3 linked regions of the Coturnix japonica genome follow. The protein of the gene in region 2 interacts with the protein of the main gene of each other region in a biochemical or structural test. Links are inferred from orthologs where the notes say so. Each region holds a gene or a part of one and is shown on either strand. Other genes may lie near its edges.

Region 1 (3,857 bases), on a different chromosome or scaffold from region 2:
ACACCCTGTCGGTGCCCCCTCCCCAGCACAGCTCCATGCCGTTCCCTCGGGCCCTGTCGCTGTCACACCGAGCTGAGCTCAGCGCTGCCCATCTGCTCCCTATGAGCTGCAGCTGCCACGAGGCCTCCGCTCAGCTCCTGTGCTCTGGGCCGAGCCCCCCCACCCCCACCCCAAACACGCTCAGCCCCACACCCAGCCGTCCCCATAGTCCCCAGCCCCGCCCCGCTACTCACGTTTATACTCGGCCATCAGCCTCTTTAACGCCGTACCCGCCATAGCGCGGCCCGCAGCGCCCCGGCCCCGCGCCGCTTCCGGGCGGGCTGGAGGGGAGGAAGTAGATAGGGGGCGCGCTAGCACTCCGCCTCTATGGTAAAGGGGGGGGGGGGGGGGCTGAGTCCTCCCAGCGCATGCGCAGTAGCACCAGCGAGTTGTGGGCGGGCCCTCTCAGCCCAGCTGCTCTGCTCACCCCACCCCCCCCCTTCCATTCAGGACACTTCTCGTTTGTGCATTAAAAAAGTATATTTCAGACAACTTTATCAAATCATGACAAAGCACATGTCAATCTGCAATCTTCCAAACTGTCTATACGGAGCATTGCGTCTCGCACGTACAGACCTCGTGTCGTGGGCTTCACGTTTCCCAGCGACTTCAATCAGCGTCTTCTTCCTCCTCTTTTAAAACAATGAGACTCATTAAGCTTGAGATCGGCATGAAAATAGACTTATTTACAAGGGTAGGATGGAACAGAGGGGCAGGGCTGACAGCCAGGAATGCACTCCATGTCCTCAAACACGGACAGGGTTATTTAGGCCACAGGTTTGAAAGGGAATAAACCAGGAAACAGCAGACAGACAGACAACGTGTAGCACTGAATCGGAACTCAAAAATCAACTGGGCCCAATTAAAGATAAGAGATGAATCCCTGCAGATACTGTGTCGACTTGCACACGCAGTACGTCAAAGACAACAAGCGATTTTGGGTAAATGTCCTCTAAGGTTTCCGAGAATCCCGTGTGATCGGCGTGTTCATTTGTTCACTATTTGATAGCAAATCCAAGGACAGATGAGAGCGAGGTGCGATGAGGAGCCTCTGTGCTCCAAAGGATGCCATGTCTTAGCACAGCCCGCCCGTCTGCTGCTGGAACACATCGATAGTGTCTTCGTCTTCCATCTCCAGCTGTGAGGGTGATACGGAGAACACGAGTTCACAACCATAAACTTATAATAGAGTTACACAGGTTTTGAGATCTCTATTTCAAAGCAGACTCAGAACCCAGCCATCTAAAAGCAACCAACTCAGATGTGTTTCTTCTGTTCCTCACCTCAGGCCTCGTCAATGCAAGAAAACCCTTAAATTCTGAGCGCTGACTGAGCTGGCAGCAGCTACAGCACCCAGCTTTAGTCCTGGCTGTATCCAGACATGGGACAGAGCTGAAGAGCTCAGCACTCCCTCCAGGTCCTGCCCACAGCAGCACACAGGTGCCAGTGTGTTTGGCACCATCTGTTCATGCACATCTCCCACCCCAGCCAGCATAAAACACATATGGAAGAGACTGAAGAAGAAGCACAAAATGATCTGCACTAAAAGCACCTTTCATACCTGTGCAGGTGTGTCTGCTTCATTAATCGGCTGCCCGTCGAATCTGAATCTGATCTGCCTCATGGACAAACCCTGCCAATATACAGAGTGACACATGTGAGGAACCAAACCGAGACACGTCTGAATCCAAACAAAGCACTGACTGATTTAGTGCCGGGACGCATATTAACTAAATTAACATGTAATATAAGCAGATGGGGAACTTCATGCCTCTGTTGCTGTACAGGAGGGTGCAGAGCTGCCGGATGGATGCTGTGGCAGTGAGGGCGCACTCCATTCCATCGTAGATGTCATTGATAGAGATGTTAAAGAAAACCGGTCTCAGGACAGATCCCTGGGGGATGCCGCTCGTTACCGGCCTCCACCTGGACATAGAGCCATTGACCACCACCCTCTGTCTGCGGCCTTTCAACCAATTGCTTATCCATCTAGTTGTCCACCCATCAAATCCACCTCCCTCCAATTTGGAGATGAGGATGTGATGGGGGACCATGTTAAAGGCCTTGCTCAGGTCCAGGTAAGGTCAGGTGCAGGGATGGGGCAGAGCTTTAGGAGTGTGGAAGCAGAGGAAGGGCTCCACGTGCAGCAGCACACACACACAGCGCTGCCCGCACTCAGTGCTGGCTGTGGCCCCGTTGTACACACACCTGCCGCTCGCAGTAGGCCTTCATCAGCTTGCTGAGAGGCGTGTGCCGCTTGATCTTGAACTGCACGACGGAGCCGTCCTGCCCGGCCACCTTCAGGTTGATGTGGTCGTTCTCTGTCTTCACTCCTTCCTGAGGGGGGACAAACCGGACGAGAGCGGCGATCATCGCAGTGCCAGGCCCGACCCTCCCCCCCTTATCCCCCCATAGCTCATCCTACGGCCCGCCCCGTGCCCGCAGAGCCCCAGCCCTGCTCACCTTGGGCTTCTCCTCCGACATGGCGGAGGGTCGGGCCCGGGGTTGGGTTCGGTTCGGGCCCGTCCCGCGCTGCTCCCGCCGCCAACAACCACCGACCGCGAGAGCGCGCGCCGAGCCGCGCCCCCGCCACCCCGCGCCAGCAATCCCGCGTTCTGATTGGCCGCACGGCTGATCACGTGGGAAGGAGGAGGGTGAGCGACAGCGCGCGGCGCGGCGGCTCTAGAAAGTGCGTCACTGGATACGGCCCAGTACGGCTATAGCGCCCCCCAGCGGGCGGCCAGAGAACTGCACCGAGCGCAGCACCGGCTCCTGCCCTTCAGAATAAAGCGCTCACGTTGGGATAGTAATCAAATCGATTTAATACATCTTGACCACATCGCATCAGAACCCTACCGTATTGCAATCAGTAACAGGCACCGAGCCCAGGAGATGATCAATATAAGGCACAGAGGTAGAGGGGGCTGTGGAGGGTCCCTGGATTAGTTGCAAGTGAAGCGTGCATTTAGGGCCTGCCCCCAAAGGCCCAAGGCAGCGAGAAACTGGTGCTGGTGTGTGAGTGTATGCATAGAGCTGCAGGCAGACAGGGCACCCCTGAGCCACTGCTGCACACAGGGACATGAGCATCACAATGCACGCACCCAGCTTTGCATAAGGCAGAAGGAAGACACACTAGGCCACCTCAGCCAGGCACCGTGTTGTATTGTGCTGTGCTGCCACCCCCAGGTGAGTAAAGGAGGAGTGTGAAGCCCCAGTGTTATTGCCACCAAGTTTCCAGGCACAGAGTGAGGTTCCAGCCCGGCCAGGCACTGCAGCTGATCCTGGCACTGCAGCTGATCCTGGCACAGCCTCTGCAGCAAAAGCCCAGGGCAAGCTGAGAACTGGAGTGGGGAATGGGGGGAGTCACTGAGCAGGGCTTGTGGCAGCATGTGGCACCATAGGGGGCTCCTAGAAAGCAACCCAGAGTGAGGTGGGTCTAGAAGGAGGACGCCATTCACCAGGTGGGGCAGATCCAGAGAGGCTAGTTCTCAAATTTTGCATAAGGGTTCTCCTCCTTGAACAGGCCTGGAAGAAAAGAGAGACACTGAGAGTCACTCATTGCTCTGGGTGACAATTCTTTCACTAACCATCCTCTGCTCACCATCCTGCTCTAGAGACTATTGTACTATTGTCCTCATGGAAGGATGCGCCCACACCACCTCAACTCCTACCCCTCATGGGATATACATCAAGCTCTGTGTTCAGTCCTGGACCCTTCACTACAAGGAGGATGTGTGTCCAGCAGAGCTGAGGGGTCTGGGGCATAAAGTGTGATGGGGAGCAGCTGAGGGAACTGGGATGGTCACACTGAGGAACAC
Region 2 (4,115 bases):
CCCTTCTTCCTTCTCTCCTCTCCCTTCTTTTTCCCTAAGTCAGATCAGCCTGCACATCCACAGTCCATCATTTCAATAGTACAATCCCTGCTAGAACGTAACTAGAGTTAAAGCTTTTTAGAAGGCACCATTAATGCTCTGTGCAGTAAACACACACAAAAGAAGCCTGCACTCATTCTCATGTTCCCAATACATACACCAGTGTCCTGGTTATGTAAGAACACTTGCAGGACTTCACACCAGAACCATAGATAACACTTCAGCTTTCAGCCAACTGTCCAGCAAGAGAAGCAGAGCATCCCAAGAGAAACCAGAACAAAACTATAAGGGGAGGAATTTTATTCCATGAGCTCACACCCCTCCTAGAGATTTTAATTAACCAACGAACATGTGACAGAATTTCAGCTGTGCTTTTAGCACCTGGAGACCAAATCCGAACACTTTACAATCATGATTAACAAGGAGATATCAAGATAGCCCTGACCAAGAGATAAGCATTTGTATTCTCAAATTAGCTGCCAGGTACGTATATTTAGTCTACTTAATATTTGCCATTCCAGTCCCCTGAATATTAAGGCCACGTAATGGAAATCCGATAAACACTGATACTTGCCAGGGATTTAACAGCAGTCACTTCTGGCACATCTAACCAGAGTGAGACTCCTAAACACCTTGAAGAAATCAGTTCTATTACACTGTTTTATGTATTAGTAATCATTAGCTGATCATTAGCTGATACTTTTAACTTACCACAACTACATGAAGTTTAGTGGCTCTTGGTTTGAACTTTTGTTTTTCATTATGTCAAGCAATAGTCAAACTTCACCTCATTATTTAGTAATGTTGAACACAACTGGGACAGAACAGCTCAGCCCCGTCTGAGCTTGAACTAATGCCTGTATTTGCTCTCCCTCTTCTGCAAGACTCCGGTTCCAATGTCTCAGGCAGGACTTAAATAACTGCAATTATCATCTTCAGGCAGAGTGCAGCAGATGGACTGACTGCACTGAGCCAGCAAACCAACCCTATCCAAACTTCATTTTCACCTTACCAGAAATCCAGATTTTTTTGGGGGGAGGGAGGTGCAGTTTTCCTACAGGTTTTTGATCTCAAAGTTGCACAGTTCTCCCATGTGACTCCAGGAGGGTGAACAACGGCCACCACGGAACAGATTTTAAACACTTGGTTTATGGATTTTTTTTTTACACTTGTTTCAGATATTGCATCCCATTGACTTTCCTTCCCTCACCTGAGAAGGTGACTGAATGAACACAATTAAGTCCCAACTTACTGTATGGGAGAGGTCCATCATTAGAAAGAACACCAAGTTCTAAGCTGGAGAAAATCCATCTCTGTCCTCCCATTCAATTTAGCACTATTCCCTCCTGCACACACCAGCACCAGGAGGTACCAACGGCCCATTTATCACTACCAACTCACTAGAAACTTCCCAGAGTGCTGGTAGCTCAGCTCTGTTGCTGGCACTACCTGCACTGGGACCAAACCCAGCCCACACTGCTGTGCCATCCATCCAGCAGCCCCAGCACAGCACAGTGCTCCCATAGCACAGTGATCACCGCGCCTGCATCCCTGCCCCATTACAAATCTGTATATACACAACGTGCTCCTTCATTCTCCATTCATTCAAAAATCAATACATGAATCAAATCGTTAAGACCGATTACATTACGAATCAGAAGCAGACGCTGTAAGGATCGTTAAACCTGCGCTGTTTGCCGGGGCAGCTTTCCTTTCCTTTCCTTTCCTTTCCTTTCCTTTCCTTTCCTTTCCTTTCCTTTCCTTTCCTTTCCTTTCCTTTCCTTTCCAGTCAGAGAAACTCAATGGTTGAGGTGGAACCAAATCGCAGCGCCTAAAACTGCCGCACAAAGTCTGCAGCGCAATAAGCGGCTCAGGCGGCACCGACCCGCACGGTAGTTCCGAGAACAACAAAAGGAACCGCGGGGCGGCCCAGCACGGAGCGGCGCAGCGCTGTCCCGGCCGCCGCCGCCGCCGTTGGTCTCGCGAGCCCCGCGGAGCGGCCGAGGCCTGTGTGTGCCGGGCGAGCTATTGGCGGGGCGGGGAGCGCTGGGCGCAGCCGGTCGGCGCACGCAGCTCAGCCGCCGAGTGCGCCCCGTAGGCGGCCGAGAGCTGAGCGGGCCGCGGCGCAGGGACAGAGCGGAGCCGTCCCGAGTTGGGCAGCCAGACGCCGTCAGGCCCGGCCGCGCCGACCGGGAACCGCCGGGAACCGCCGTGCCCGCGAACCGCCGCAACGCGAGGCACCGGACCAGGCCGCACCGGGCCGGGCCGCACCGGGCCGGGCCCCGCCGCCCCAGGCCCCGCTCCCGGCCAGGCCTCACCGTGCTCGGCCGCAGCACCCGCGTGTGTCCCGGATTGAGGCAGCGGCGAATGACCCGGATGTTCCCGGCTCCGCTCCCCCCCTTTGTCTCTGCTCCGGAGTTTCCCTCCCTCTCCCTTCCTCTCTCCCCCTCCCTCTCTCGGTGCCGTTCGCTTTATCGCCGTGTGTCCCTCGGCCCGACCCGTCCGTCCCGCTGCGCAGGCGCGGTTCGGCAGGACCTGCGGGCGGCCCGACAGCGCCTGAGCGGGGAACGACACGAGGCGGAGCGGATCCGAGCACGGCCCGGCACAACGACGAGCCGCCACGGAAACACGGGCGGAACTTTTACCTCAGGCGCTGTGGAGTCAGCCGTGCCCGACAACCGGCCCGAGAACACGGCGGGGCCGGCCACTGCGCCTCAGCTCGATAGGACCCGCCCACCGCCACCACCCGCGTCTCTGATTGGAGGATGGGGAGTCGACCCTGAGCTGTCATTGGGCAGAGCCAGGAGGGGGCGGGGCCATCCCGCCTGCAGGGGGTTCGTGTCGCTGTGGGTTTGTTTGGAACATTCACGTTTAATGTAACGAAACATGTCGGGTCTTTAAACCTCTGAGCAGCATCCGGCCATGGTCTGTCCATTGAACTGCACCGTATATAGCGCCTTAATACCAACCATGGCTTATCTTCCCCTCCATTCTGCCATCATTAGGCATTGCCATAAATAAGCACTTATATATTGATGGGACAACAATGATCTCCTGTCAGTACCCATAACACAGCACAAAGCAAGGTGTCATCAGGCCAAAGCTCTGTGTGAAAAACCAAGGGCAGGAATTATCAAATTCTACTGATAAAGACACTATGGCGGCGATGCAGGGATGGGTGCGGAGCCTTCATGGGCTGAGGGTTTAAAGGCAGCTTAAATGAGGGTTCTAATGTGCAGCCACTCCCGTGTTTAACCAGGAGGGTGAGCCCAGTGCTCCGGCAGCTCCTTCCCTGGTTTGATTTATTTATTCTCTAAACAATCCACGCTCACATTTCAATTTAATCTCGGTTTAACTCCACAGAAACGATGGAGGAACCTTCCCCAGGTTGGTCTCAGAAAATAGAAACAAACCAGATCCTCAAAACACTTGTCGTATTCTCACCCCATCTTCATTGAGCTTCTCTCATTCAAGAGGAATTGTCTTCCCTTGGAATGAATATCTCCTTTTCCTATACATGCTTTACCCCACTGCACAGCACAATGATGCAAAATAGGATGTCTCTCTTTCTGTGGGCCCTCCTGCCCAACTTTCTTCTCTCACCCTAACGCACAAATACTTATGGCATTAGTTACTGTATTCCTTTTAACTAGTAAATGCTGGAGGAGAGATGGAGAAGAGCTGTGTACAGAAAGCATCCTGACCATCACTAATGGAAGATGTAAGGAAAACTTTAAACATGCTTTGCATTTAAAACTGATTAAAACTATTAAGATGAAATTCACCTCATTCTTAATGGTGTACCCCCCTAAGATTCCAGAATTCATTAATTGGCTTATTTACATTTCTTATTACAAAGTGTCACTTTCAGATTCATTTTTCAGATATAAGTATTTCTATTAAAAATCTACATACTGGATTCAAAAAGTAATCAGTGAGGTTAGGCAGGTTGATTTGTTAGCTCCGTGAATGAAAGAAAATATACACAAAGTCATTAATTAAAACTTGACACTCTTCTTGGTTATATACCCATCCCAGAAGGGACAATTTCCTGCTATAATGATCAGTGACTGTAT
Region 3 (4,209 bases), on a different chromosome or scaffold from region 2:
CAGGGCGGCATGGCCGCTGGGGGCAGCGCGGCAGTGCGGTAACGATCCCAACCCCCAACCAGTCGGCTTCAAAACAACGCACGGTACCAACAACGGGACAGACCTCACCCCATTCGCTGTTGGTACTCACAGACAGACACAGCTGTAGCCATGTGCCGGTGTGGCTCTAGCATAAAGCCTGTGTGTGATTCTTAACAACGTTTCCTACGCAGTTTGCAGTTAAAGCGCACGCTCGCTCGAGCCAGAACTCAGCTGCCTTCCCCCATAGAGAACAAAGGCGCGGCTCTGACATGTGCACGGTCGCACAACACGCCGACTCGCCGCTCCGCCTCGTTAAGGAAGTCACAGCCCCGGGGCACGAGGAGCGTTAGCGCTGCGGAGCTGATCCGACCGACCCGCGAGAAAGGAACGCAAAGACCAAGCCCAGGCTTCTCTCCTTTAACTGCATAAACCCTATATCCCATATATTTGCAGTTAAACCACATTAATGCTGCTTTAAAGAAAAACGGAGCACACACACGTAAGGCTCTTATCAGAACACTCAAAGCCATCGCTGCTGCAACCACCTGGGAATTAAGCGAGGCTATTATGGGAAGTATTGCTCCTGCTCTGATTTTCTCCCTGCAACTAATCTCAGTCACTTGGAGTCCCTTCCATTAGCTCAGGCTGAGGTGCGGCTCTACTCGAGGCCATGGATGCAGCTGAGCAGGGAAGGGCCGCAGCATTCCCTCACAATCTGTGGCCCATCTCCTCTGCATAACACCTCTTTCACCAACCAAACACAGGCTCTTGAACATCAGATACAGCCACTTGGCTCCTAACACAGGCTCCTGAACAGCCAGTTGGCTCCTAGTGCTGGCACAGCTGCTCGGGAGCAAAAAGGATGAACATAACACTCTAAGCTCCAGCCTGGGCTGTCAGCACTGAAACAGGGCTTTGAAAGTAGGTGTGTGAACCTGCCTGACCTTCTGCACTGAGCACTGCTTGTTCAGTGACGCTATTAAATGCTCATTATAACACCGAAAACAACCAACTCCCACGGCCATAACGCGAATAACCCCGTTATCGCAGCGCTGCTTCCCCCGCAGCCCCACACGCTGCAGGCCGGACACACGGCGCTGCCTCGTGGCCACCAACCGCGGCCCAGCACCGCCCCCAGCCGGCGGGCAGCGCACGGAGCGAGCCCAACAAAATGGGGGCTGCGCTCAGCACACGGTCACAGCCCATAAGGCCGCTATACGCAAACAGGAGCTCGTAGAGCACAGCTACGAGGCACAGCGCGGTGGAACCTTTAGGGAACCGCCCCGTTACCGGCCGTGCCCAGGGCACACAGTGTCACAGCCGGCAGCCCCGGCCGCGCTCACTGCGCCACGTGGCCTGCGGGAGCGCGCGGAACTGGCTGCCCAGCATTTCCCCTTCCGGTGAGGTCACTTCCGCTGCGCCCACTCTAGTTCATGGGCGGGGTGGGCGCCGTGGGTCCGCGCACGTGGCCGTGCTGCTGCCGCCGCTCCCGGTTGTCCCCGGCCCTTCTTGGCTGCCGCCATGTTGGTGCTGTTTGAGACCGCTGCCGGCTACGCCATCTTCAAGGTGAGGTGTGGAGGTGGTGAGGAGGCCGCGCCCCGCTCCCGGTTGGGGTTTGGTGGGCGCTGTGGATGCGGCCTGTACGGCCTGGTGAGGGGCCGTGTCTGTTACGAGTCCTGTGGGTTCTGACCCACGGAACCGGGCGGGAGCTGGGCACAGAGGCCGGTACCCAATGGAGTGAATGGCTGCTTTGTGTGCAGGTTGTATGGGGGAAACGGGGGGTGTCTCTCTGGAGCCCTGGGCAGTGGCCCATCGTAGTGCTGCTGATGTACAGCTGGTCTTTTATTAAGAGAAATTTTATGTTCTCGTATAAGAAGGAGTGAGCCAGATTCTTCACTATATCGTTCCCCTATGAGGACAGGCTGAGGGAGTTGGGTTTGTTCAGCCTGGAGAAGAGAAGGTTGCGGGGTGACCTCATTGCAGCCTTTCAATACCTGAAGGGAGCTTAATCCCAGGAGGGGAGTAAACTCTTGGAAAGGGCTGACAGTAGCAGGATACGGGGAAATGGTTTTAAGTTAAAAGAGGGAGGATTTAGGTTGGATGTTAGGGGGAAGTTCTTTACTAGGAGAGTGGTTAGGCCCTGGAACAGGCTGCCCAGGGAGGTTGTGGATGCCCCGTCCTTGGAGGTGTTCAAGGCCAGGTTGGACGGGGCCCTGGGCAACCTGATCTAGTAAATGTGTATGTTTGGTGGCCCTGCCAGGCAGGGGGGCTGGAACTACATGATCCTTGAGGTCCCTTCCAACCTGGGTCATTCTTTGACGGTGTTTTCGTATAGCAGTGCTGTGTGTCGAGCCCAGCTCACCCAGGTGGTGGGATGTGGGGTTTGTGCCGCTCTGCACCTGGCTGTGTAACCTCACTTCAAGCACTGCGTGCAGGTTTGGGCACCGCAGTGTAAGAAAGATATGAAGCTATTGAAGAGCAGCCATAAAAAGGCAGCAGAAACGGGGAGGGCACTGAGGGCAACGTGTGTGAGTTGTGGCTGAGGTCCCTTGGGTTGCTCAGAGCGGAGGAGCTGAGGGGAGGCTCGTGGTGGCTGCAGCTCCTCTAAGGGGCGGTGCTGAGCTGTGCTCCCTGTGACACTGAGGAGCTGTGCCAGGGGAGGGGCAGCTGGGGTGCAGGGAAAGGTTGTGCACCAGAGAGTGGTGGGCATGGAATGGGCCCAGCGCAGTGGGTACGGTCCTGAGTGCTGGACCTCGAGATGCGTTTGGGCTGTGTGTGCGGGAAGTGGGTTTGACTTCTGACCCTTCATGGAGCTAGGAGTTGAATTCAGTGATTCTTTGGGGTTCCTTCCAACTCAGGAGATTCGATGGTTCTATTCTGTAATTGTGCAGGAGTCAAGAGGGGCTGTAAACAGCCCGTATTTAAACCACTGAAACTGAGGTTGGCATATGAAAAAAGTTGGTATATAAATAGAGGCATGAGAAGAGGCACTGAACTGAAGAGACTCCTCTACAGAAGTGCTGCTGATGTCAGCAGCTGCGTGCTGGGCCCGGCTGTGGTGTCTGTGCCAGGCAGCAGGGGGCACCAGGCAGCAAGCAGCAGCGTTCCCTTGCAGGCATTAAGCATACTCTGGGAGAGCAAACTGCATTTGATATCTGGGTTGGATGCAAGAGAACTGGAAGCTGTCTGCTGGAACTGAGCATTAGTAACATTTCATTAAGATATGTGTTTGGACACATGTTTTGGTTTTCCACACTTGTTCTGTTTGCAGCTGCCAGGAAGACCTGCGCATGTTGTGTGTCTGCAGGACTGGGAGAGCTTTTCTATCCTCCATACAGTAGCTGCAAATTTATGTGATCACTACATCTGTATGTTAGTTCTGTATCAAAGTATTCACCATGGTGTTATGCTTTTTTTAAGACAGTGTCTTAATGTGTCTTAATGTGGTCACAATTTAGTTTGTTCTTCAGTTCCTTGAGAACTGAAGAGAATTTACATTTCAGAACTCTTAGAAACAGTTGTCACCCACTTTCCTTTCCAGCAGGGCTCACAAGCTGTCTGTAGGCAGAATAACTGTGCTCTGCCATTATGCTTTGGTAAACAGGATCATCTTTCTCTACAAGCTGGGTAGCCCTTCAGTGGTCTCCTGTTGGTATTGCTCCTGTCAGAGGAGTGAAGAGTGTGTATGACTTGGGGGTAAATAGAATAACAGTGTTCTGGTTCTTGGAAGTCCATTATATCTTAGTGTCCGCTGAGACACAAAATTTCCATAGGCAGCCATAGTTTCTATATATTAGCAACCTTGATTTATCAGTTTGTATACTTGTGTTTTTCTCGATATCTGTTTATAGAGCCAGAATTCTCTGAGCTTCAGGGCAGGAAGAACTAATCCTGTCTGTATCAAAGATGAATCCACTGCGAAGCAAAGAATCAACAGGCTGGGGAGATGTGCCCAAAGGTTGTCTTGTGCCCCAGAGCCCTGTGGGAAATGAGTCATCATGTTTATTTGCTCAGCAATAATTTAATTTAAACAAAAAGAAAGAGCTTCCTTTGGCCTAGGTTTAAAAATCTGCAAGGGCGCAAGAGCTGTTTTTGCAGGGCACCAAGTTGAATTGTAGTTGTGCTGGGGCTTGTCACAACTTAAATCCAACATTTTTACTGAGGTGTGAAGAACTTAACATTGTAAGG

What was found. The genes of interacting proteins can lie anywhere in the genome.
Region 1: the proteins of UBE2I (region 2) and small ubiquitin-related modifier 3 form a complex in vitro, tested with the Homo sapiens proteins (2 studies listed by BioGRID, with this or other methods). The link is inferred for Coturnix japonica from reciprocal best matches to the Homo sapiens genes UBE2I and SUMO3.
Region 3: of the proteins of UBE2I (region 2) and NOP58, one has a biochemical effect on the other in vitro, tested with the Homo sapiens proteins (2 studies listed by BioGRID). The link is inferred for Coturnix japonica from reciprocal best matches to the Homo sapiens genes UBE2I and NOP58.

Annotation. Positions count from the first base shown.
Region 1 is NC_029524.1:3,984,174-3,988,030, reverse strand, and holds small ubiquitin-related modifier 3, read right to left. Parts: upstream 2,646-3,857; 5' UTR 2,524-2,645; coding exon 2,503-2,523; intron 2,377-2,502; coding exon 2,248-2,376; intron 1,673-2,247; coding exon 1,601-1,672; intron 1,178-1,600; coding exon 1,115-1,177; 3' UTR 501-1,114; downstream 1-500. Other genes in the region: UBE2G2 (ubiquitin-conjugating enzyme E2 G2), read right to left, coding at 234-276; PTTG1IP (pituitary tumor-transforming gene 1 protein-interacting protein), read right to left, coding at 3,521-3,564. UniProt on the Homo sapiens protein: Ubiquitin-like protein which can be covalently attached to target lysines either as a monomer or as a lysine-linked polymer. Does not seem to be involved in protein degradation and may function as an antagonist of ubiquitin in the degradation process.
Region 2 is NC_029529.1:7,278,757-7,282,871, reverse strand, and holds the start of UBE2I (SUMO-conjugating enzyme UBC9), read right to left. Parts: upstream 2,801-4,115; 5' UTR 2,685-2,800; intron 2,492-2,684; exon of another isoform or gene 2,358-2,491; intron 1,964-2,357; exon of another isoform or gene 1,686-1,963; intron 1-1,685. UniProt on the Homo sapiens protein: Accepts the ubiquitin-like proteins SUMO1, SUMO2, SUMO3, SUMO4 and SUMO1P1/SUMO5 from the UBLE1A-UBLE1B E1 complex and catalyzes their covalent attachment to other proteins with the help of an E3 ligase such as RANBP2, CBX4 and ZNF451.
Region 3 is NC_029522.1:10,249,820-10,254,028, forward strand, and holds the start of NOP58 (nucleolar protein 58), read left to right. Parts: upstream 1-1,409; 5' UTR 1,410-1,542; coding exon 1,543-1,587; intron 1,588-4,209. UniProt on the Homo sapiens protein: Required for the biogenesis of box C/D snoRNAs such as U3, U8 and U14 snoRNAs. Part of the small subunit (SSU) processome, first precursor of the small eukaryotic ribosomal subunit.